Linked DNA regions of Cricetulus griseus. The protein of the gene in region 1 purifies or fractionates together with the protein of each later gene. This does not show direct contact. Links are inferred from orthologs where the notes say so. Each region holds a gene or a part of one and is shown in the gene's direction. Other genes may lie near its edges.

Region 1 (3,559 bases):
TAACACACAAAAACAGATTTCTCTACTTAGGCAGCTGCCAGAAAATTGCCAGCCAGTTGTTGTTGGAAATTACCGTGCAACAAAGGTTGATACATTGACCAAAGGCAGTGGAGAAGTCTGTCTGATGAGATATTGTCACAGACCAGTAGACACCACAGTTCTCTGACATAGAAGAGTGGTAGGCAGTCTTGACAAGTGGCTCTGCTGCTGGGGCTGGCGTCCACACTGACTTGCATGCCATTCTGCACAAGGCAATGAAGTGTTGGAGAGCACGAATAGATGCTAACGCTCATCTCACCATTGCATGTGACTTAAGTGAGATTTCTTTTCTCTTTCAGTGCATTTGAAACGACACTTTATGTTTCGAAACCATCTTTGTTTAGTCTTTGAAATGCTGTCCTATAATCTCTATGATTTGCTGAGGAACACCAACTTCCGAGGGGTCTCTTTGAATCTCACGCGAAAGTTTGCACAGCAGATGTGCACAGCACTGCTTTTCCTTGCGACTCCAGAGCTTAGTATCATTCACTGTGACCTCAAGCCTGAGAACATTCTCCTCTGCAACCCCAAACGGAGTGCCATCAAGATCGTTGACTTCGGGAGTTCTTGTCAGTTGGGGCAGAGGGTAGGTATTATTTTAGGACTTGTGAGTTAACAGTAGAATTAGCTGTTTAAAACATGTTTTAACCAATGTAGCTATAGATTGGAGACAATTAGAGGAATTTTTTTATTATTATCTTGAGCTTGTAGCATGTGCTTCACTTCCCGCAGGTGTCTTTTTGAAATCCATATTGCAGTACTTGAATTGGAAGATAATGATTTTTAAGTTTTTATTTAAAATTCTGTTTAATGCTAAACATTTTAAGAGTTAAAGAGATAAAAGAGTTAAATATTAGGTGATTTATAGCTTCTAAATAGACTTTTAGTATAAAATTTGGACAATTCTAGCTTGAACTAGGTTCTTAACTAAAAATTACTTCTCCTACGTCATCAAGATAATGTTTCTTACAAACTGAGGAGTGCATATCAAGAGGTGCTTTTGGTAATCACGGTACTGTGTGGAAACAGCAAGTGGTGGACATGCTTGTTTTGATAAATAGTTTTAACTCTTTCTTCCCCCACTAAGTTAGAAGCAGTGTAGATTCAGCTCCTCAGAACCTCAGATTTTCTTCACCTGAGGGGAGGGGAGGGGGGGAGAGAGAGTGAATTAGGGAGTTAGAGAGAGTGTGAGGACAGCCATGGCTACACAGAGCAGCCCTGCCTTGGGAAATACAATGAGCTGGTTCAGAAAAGCAGATGTTTGCTGCTGTGGTTTGCAGCATTGTGACATCTGTGCCAAGGCTGTGGTTTGCATGTAAACAGAAGTTACAGGGTTTCTTCTCAAAAGAGGTAAGGCTATTTGCATAAAGGTTTTGCAACTATTTTCAATCTAACATCCAAATGTTACTATTTTTATATTGGCATCCCCATTCTTTGTTTTCTAAGCTTGTGAAATTTCTATCTTGTCCAACTTGTATCCAGGTTTTAAGTAGAGCAGCTTATTTATAGTGAAGGTATAGAGTCAGTTTTGTTAGCAGGCTTACCTTTTGTCATTCTGTGCGTTATCTTATAATAACACAGCTAAATAATTGTGGAAATAAGTTTTTGATTGGATTGTGAAGAAAAATGTGCAGCCTTAAATGCTGTTGCAAAGCCTAGTGTTGCCCTGGTTATAGGAGTAAAACACATTGTGGATGGAGACACACATCTACTGTGAGAGGTATTTCAGTAGACTTTTCACTTAGTAATTTCCCCTCAATTTAAATCCAGGCCTACTCTGGGTCCTAATATCAAGCAGTGTTCTCTTTGTCTGCACAAACTGAAGTAGCTTACCCCATTAGGCCATTGCACATTTAAGTGCTAAAGTGTAGTGATGTTATGTGGGAAATACTTCTAAGATCTCTGTGTGTGGTCCTGCCCATATATGTCAGAAGGTGGCTAGAGGGCAAGTGTGTGCCTGAGCTAGGGTGCTCAGTGACTTGGGTACAAAAACCTGATTAACCAAAGTAGTCAGGTGGGTGACTTCCTTGACCTGGCAACACTTGGAAACAGTACAATTTGAATACCTCATGTCCAAAACGTTTGGTACTGGAGTATTTGCCATCTCAGAATTTGCCAGGGATCAAATCCAAGTCCTCACCCATGCTGTACAACTGCTCTGTACCACTGAGCCAAGCCCCAGAGAAGGGGCAATTAACTTGGTTTACTATTCCTCCTCTTGACTTCTGATGTAGGACGGCGCTACATGGAAGGTCTGAATTCTTAACCAACTTTTTGTGTGTATTCCTTTGAAACGTTTAGTTATTTAACTGTGTTTGTAGTGTAATGTTGAGCTTTTCAACTGATATTGAGTATAAATAAATTGACATGGAATTAATGACTGTTTTGAAATGTGTTTCAGATATACCAATATATTCAGAGTCGCTTTTATCGGTCTCCAGAGGTGCTACTGGGAATGCCTTATGACCTTGCTATCGACATGTGGTCCCTTGGATGTATCCTGGTTGAAATGCATACTGGAGAGCCTCTGTTCAGTGGGGCCAATGAGGTAAGGGAGGGGTGTGCAGCTCTGTTTCCATGGAGACAGTGCCATCTGAAAGTTGTTCTCATAACATGGTATCGACTAAATAGCTTGAGCACTTGTGTCTGAGGTCAGCTTGGTCTTATTTTACATACACTCTTTTAATTTTTCCTCTTTGTCAGTTACCATAATGGTAGGCTTAGAATTCTGAACTAGTAATTATGATAGTTAATATGTTAATGAAGGAGTACAGTAAATTAGACCAGAACATGTATTTCATAGATAGATGTGTTGCAGGTTTAAGGATAGTACAGAGAGCCTCAGTGTGTGGTGAGGAGATGAGGACCACTCTAGTGTGAGCACTGCTTAGAACCCTGAGACTGGGATGCCGTACTTGAAGAGCAGTCATCAATCCAGTCGGTAGATGAGTCTGAATTGTTTCAGATAAACTAGGAATTCAGAATTTTGGGCTGCAGAGACTGCAAGTCTGCAGACTTCTCTGTGTTCCTAAGAGATTGTAGATGTGAGAAACAGTGAATGGCCCCAAAGAGCACCTGAGTATTTGTTTGTTTTAAATTACTTATTTGTAGATTGTTCTTTGCGGAAAAGTTGATCATTTAGGACCATAATCCAATTTTTTGGGGTTTTCGAGACAGGGTTTCTCTGTGGCTTTGGCAGCTGTCCTGGAACTAGCTCTGGAGACCAGGCTGCCCTCAATCTCATAGAGATCCGCCTGCCTTTGCCTCCCGAGTGCTGGGATTAAAGGCGTGAGCCACCAACGCCCGGCCATGATCTAAATTTTTATTTATAAATGAAGTTTTTTAAAAAGGCCAAATGACTTTGTTGGTGTTTGTATTCTTGTTGAGTTGAGATCTTGACATGTTATCTGAATTGGCCCTGGACTCTGGTACTGAGGTGGTCCCCAAACCCTGCCTCTCACATGCAGGCTAAAGCACATGCCACACCCAGTTTCTATCCTGTTTTCTACATTTAACTTTA
Region 2 (4,350 bases), on another chromosome or scaffold:
CTCAAAGGGAGAATGAGAGGAATTCACTAGATGGAAGAAACAGATGGGAAATCACTCTGAGCAGGGGAGATGGGCTCAACAGAGATGAGGAAATAAAGTGGGGAGAGAAAGCCACTGTGGGGTGCAAAGTGTCAAAATGAGCAAGAAGGGCAGGATTAGACAGAGTCTGTCAACATGTTCAATCAACTGATTGCACACTGTCAGAGTCAATTGTGTGCTGAGTGCAAGTTAAGAAAAAGCTAATCCTTCAAACAGTTCTGTTTCCTATTTTGTGATTGATTTTTCCAAGTCCTGAAGAACACCGATACTCAATTGGGCATTTTAAGGTACAATCAAGGGTGTTCTTGGTTAGTTTCATTGTTCACAAAAAGGCTGCGAGGTGTGTGTGTGTGTGTGTGTGTGTGTGTGTGTGTGTGTGTGTGTGTGTAGGGGGGACAGGACACACAGTAACTGATAGCAGAGCTTTGGTCTTACACTATGGTACAGTCTAGGCTTTTAGGGGCTCTGGAAGTTCGTGGTGTCATGGAAGGTTAAGGGAGAAGGTAAATCCATTTCCCAGAGGCCTAATCTTTTTATTGGCTGCCAGAATTCCGGTTCTGTGATCAACCACTCAATAGTTCAGGCTCAGCCTATGCACCTACATCCACTCTAAGCTACTTATTGGCTACTTATGCTTTCCTTCACATCACCTACACCACTACCCTTGGCTCTGCTTTCCTATCTTGCCTCTAAAGTCTCCGTCAGCTACACCCTCCAGTTTAGGCATTGGTTAATCCCATCCTGGCACTGCCCTTTGAGATCTCATCCTGGCTCCCCATCTCTTTCTCGCTCCCACCTTCACTCCTCAGATGCCCAGGGGCTCTTCCCCCTTACAGTCCCGCCTCCGTGTATGCTCGCACAGTATCTTCCAGCCTCCCATCAGTCTCTGTATTGGCTAGATCCACCCTGTTACCGCCCCTTGAAGCCATAGTGCACTCGCACAAGGCTCCCCATTGGCTCGTTGCAAACATTATCGTCATTCTGCCTCTACATCATTCGCGAGCAGTTCTCCATTGGCTGTTCTTTTTATCTTTCTTACGTCTCACCGCCTACGCAACCTGCGGATCTCCCACTTTTTGGACCTCTTGGGTTCGCTCCCCGCTTCCCCCTTCGCCCATAGCCATTCCATCTTCCCGCCACCCACCATGCCGCTCGCGCTTAGACTTCCCCACTAACTGTCATACTTCTGCTAGCTACATCTTCGGTCCCGCATTAACCCCACTCCGGCCTTTCCATTGATTCGGTGATCATCCCGCCTCCCACACCGCCCACGCTCGGGTGTCCTCATTGGCCGCAAGCTTCTCCTGCTTGTCAATCACTGTCTACGTCACTCCCGCGTGGCTGTCCATTGGCTGTTGGCTGTACCTGTCTTCATCTCACCGCCTACGCTCCACTGGAGTCCCACCCCCCCGCTCTGGCCTTCCCATTGGCTGCCCGCCTTTTCAGGCCCAGCCCCCGCCGGTGCCACCGCCGGTGCCGTCGGTGCCGCCGCCGCCGCCGCCGATATGGCGCGCACGGCCCCTGTGGAGCCACCGCTGCGGCACCCCGCACCCCCATCGCCGGCTGCGGGAGAGCCCCGCGCCTCGGTTGAGGCGGCGGTGGCCCCGCGGAGGGTGCTGTTCGCTGACGAGGCCCTGGGGCTGCCTCTGGCGCAGCTACGCCGCTACCGGCCGTGGGGCGGGCCCGGGGCGGGCAAGATGGCGGCAGAGACCGGGCAAGATGGCGGCGGCGGCGGGGCTGATGAGGACGATGATGGCGAGGATGGGGATGAAGGGGAGGAGGAAGAGGAGGCTTTCCCCGATCCCTCGCCGCTGTGCCCCGTTCCCGCTGGCGGGGGTTTTTACTTGGTGCCCACATTTTCGTTGCCGCCCGCGTTGGGCCGTCTGGAGCGGTTGGGGCGCGTGATGGTGGAGCTGGAGGCGCTGCTGCCGCCTCCTGGAGCGGTCCCCGGGGGTTCCGGGGTGTGGGTGCCTGGGGGGCGCCCGCCGGTGGTGCGCGGGTTGGTGCGCGTGCTGAACCGCTCCTTCGAGAAGGCGGTGCACGTGCGGGCCTCACACGACGGCTGGGCTTCCTTCTGCGACCACCCAGCGCGCTATGTCCCACGCAGCCTGCCTGGGGCAGGAGTGGGAGGAACAGGAGCAGGAGATCCCCTCCTGGATCCGGGTCTAGGCCTGGGCCCCGGCCAGATGTCTGCTTCCTCGCCCGACGACGGTGGCCGCACTGACCGTTTTGCCTTCCAGCTGCCCTTTGCTGAGGGCGCGGGTGATGGGGCGCGCCTCGACTTCGTGGTGCGCTATGAGACCCCCGAGGGCACTTTCTGGGCCAACAACCATGGCCGCAACTACACTGTCCTGCTCCGGATCGCACCCGCTCCCACACCCACTGATGCTGAAGGGCTGATCCAGCAGCAGCAGCTGCAGCAGCTGGAGCCACAGCCTGAGTGCCAGGGTCCTGTGGAGGCAGAGGCCAGGCAGCTGAAGAGCTGCATGAAGCCGGTGAGGCGCAGGTAATGTCTGCCAGCGCCACCTCCGACAAGGCAGGGCTGAATGTAGAATGGAGGACAATCATCCCATTCCAGGAGCCCCCCCCCCGCCCCCACCCCAGGCCTGGTCTCCAGGCCAGGGAGGAGGGTGCATTTGGTCAAAGAGTAGTGGAGGCCAAACATGTGCTAGGCACTGTTTTAAAAACTGGGGTATCATCCATTAATTGAGTTCCACTGTAAAGCCCTGAACAAGACAGACACCTTCCCTGCCCTCAACCATCACGCAAGGCTCCTGTGGGAAACAGTATGAAAAAAGCAAACAAGCAGATAAGATAAATAGGGCTAAGGTTAGTGCTGAGAGGAAAAAAAATACAGTTAAGGCTCTGGAGAGGGAGTGGCTGCTGTAGACGTGGTGTTGAGGGTGAGCTCTTCTGCTGAGTCCCAGACGGTGATAAAGAAGAGCTATGGAAGAGAGAATTGATAGAAAATGCAACAGGTAGGACTTTCCTAAGGAGGCGGCACGGAGTCCTGAGTGGTATGGAGCAGTGACATACATAGAAGGAAGATGTACGTAGTGGGAACAGCAAGTTTCAAAAGTCCTGATGTGGTTCTGAGTTTCGTACGAATGATAGCGGGTTCGCGGAGTGGTGAGAGCATGCGGTGTGATGCTGTGGACTTAGGGTCTCCCAGTGTGGGGTGTGGAATCTGATTCCTATCTGACATAGCAGGAAGTCAGTTACAGAGGTGGAGAGACTGGTTGAGGAAGTGGTGGTACTTGGCTTTTTTGGTTTCAACCATTTCTGGCCTTGAAGTCTGTGCAAGCTTTTTTACTGTTTCTCCCGTAGTCTGAGGCCTGTAGAGGTGAGGGATTGAGGCCATTTGGAAGCATTAGCTTTGGCAGAGGCAGAAGCAGATAAGAAGTGGAATCGAAGCTCTTGTCTTTTTTTGCACACCTTCTATAAACTTCAGGGGCTGGGAGAAAGAACCATTTATAACCCAGGAGACTGAGATAATGCTTTTCCAGGTCTTTACCAGGGCTGTAAGTTTTTCACGGACAAAGCTAGCCTGATTCTTTCTGTGGTCGTCTAGGTGAGGTGACGCCCGGAGTCAGTTAGATTCTCCATGAAATGGATACATGTTCCTTCTGTGAGGACTGGACATGGAAATGGGAATGGGAGGTTGCTCATCTGGCCATTGGAAGCTGCATGATGCAGCAGGGTGTTGTGGGATCGGCTGGTTTTGGTAAGGGCTTAGGTTGTGAATGGTTCTGAAAGGTTTAGCTCTTAGCTGATGGACCTTGAAGTGTTAAGAACTTGGATCCTGCCATAAGATTACCTGGGTTGAAATCCCAGGCCTGCCCCTTTCTAGTGTTGTGACCTTAGCCGATTCTTAACTGCATTGTGCCGTAGGTGACTAAATGTACCCTCATCTGTAAAATATGTAATTATGGCACGTACTGCACAGGATGAGTAAAAGCACTCAGGGCTTAGCTTAGTTTAAAGTAGTGCCATAGTGGTGCTAATTAGCATTAATATTTAGATACTCACATACAATCTGTGGATTCCCTTCCTGAACTCAGCTTTGTTGTATGGTCTTGTCTCAGTGTCTCATTTGTCGGAGAGGAATGGCATTAACATTGTGTGGTTGAATTGGATGCAGCAACTGTGGGCGAGGTAACTGAGGCACAGCTGTAGCTGTGAAAGGTACGGTGGTCAGCATTTACCGGTCTCTGGTAAGAGTGGTAGGTGCAGTCTCCTCTCAAGGCCAGCTGAATGCGCTGTTTGTTGTAGGTGCTATATGGATTCCTAGTTAACAGGGAAATGGGGAAC

The links.
Region 2: the proteins of Dyrk1a (region 1) and Ppp1r3f purify together in Homo sapiens (affinity purification with mass spectrometry; 3 studies listed by BioGRID and IntAct, with this or other methods). This does not show direct contact. The link is inferred for Cricetulus griseus from reciprocal best matches to the Homo sapiens genes DYRK1A and PPP1R3F.

The regions. Positions count from the first base shown.
Region 1 is NC_048597.1:3,188,628-3,192,186, reverse strand, and holds part of Dyrk1a (dual specificity tyrosine-phosphorylation-regulated kinase 1A), read left to right. Parts: intron 1-338; coding exon 339-625; intron 626-2,440; coding exon 2,441-2,587; intron 2,588-3,559. UniProt on the Homo sapiens protein: Dual-specificity kinase which possesses both serine/threonine and tyrosine kinase activities. Exhibits a substrate preference for proline at position P+1 and arginine at position P-3.
Region 2 is NC_048604.1:114,040,145-114,044,494, reverse strand, and holds the start of Ppp1r3f (protein phosphatase 1 regulatory subunit 3F), read left to right. Parts: upstream 1-1,494; 5' UTR 1,495-1,544; coding exon 1,545-2,545; intron 2,546-2,624; exon of another isoform or gene 2,625-2,985; coding exon of another isoform or gene 2,986-3,017; intron 3,018-4,350.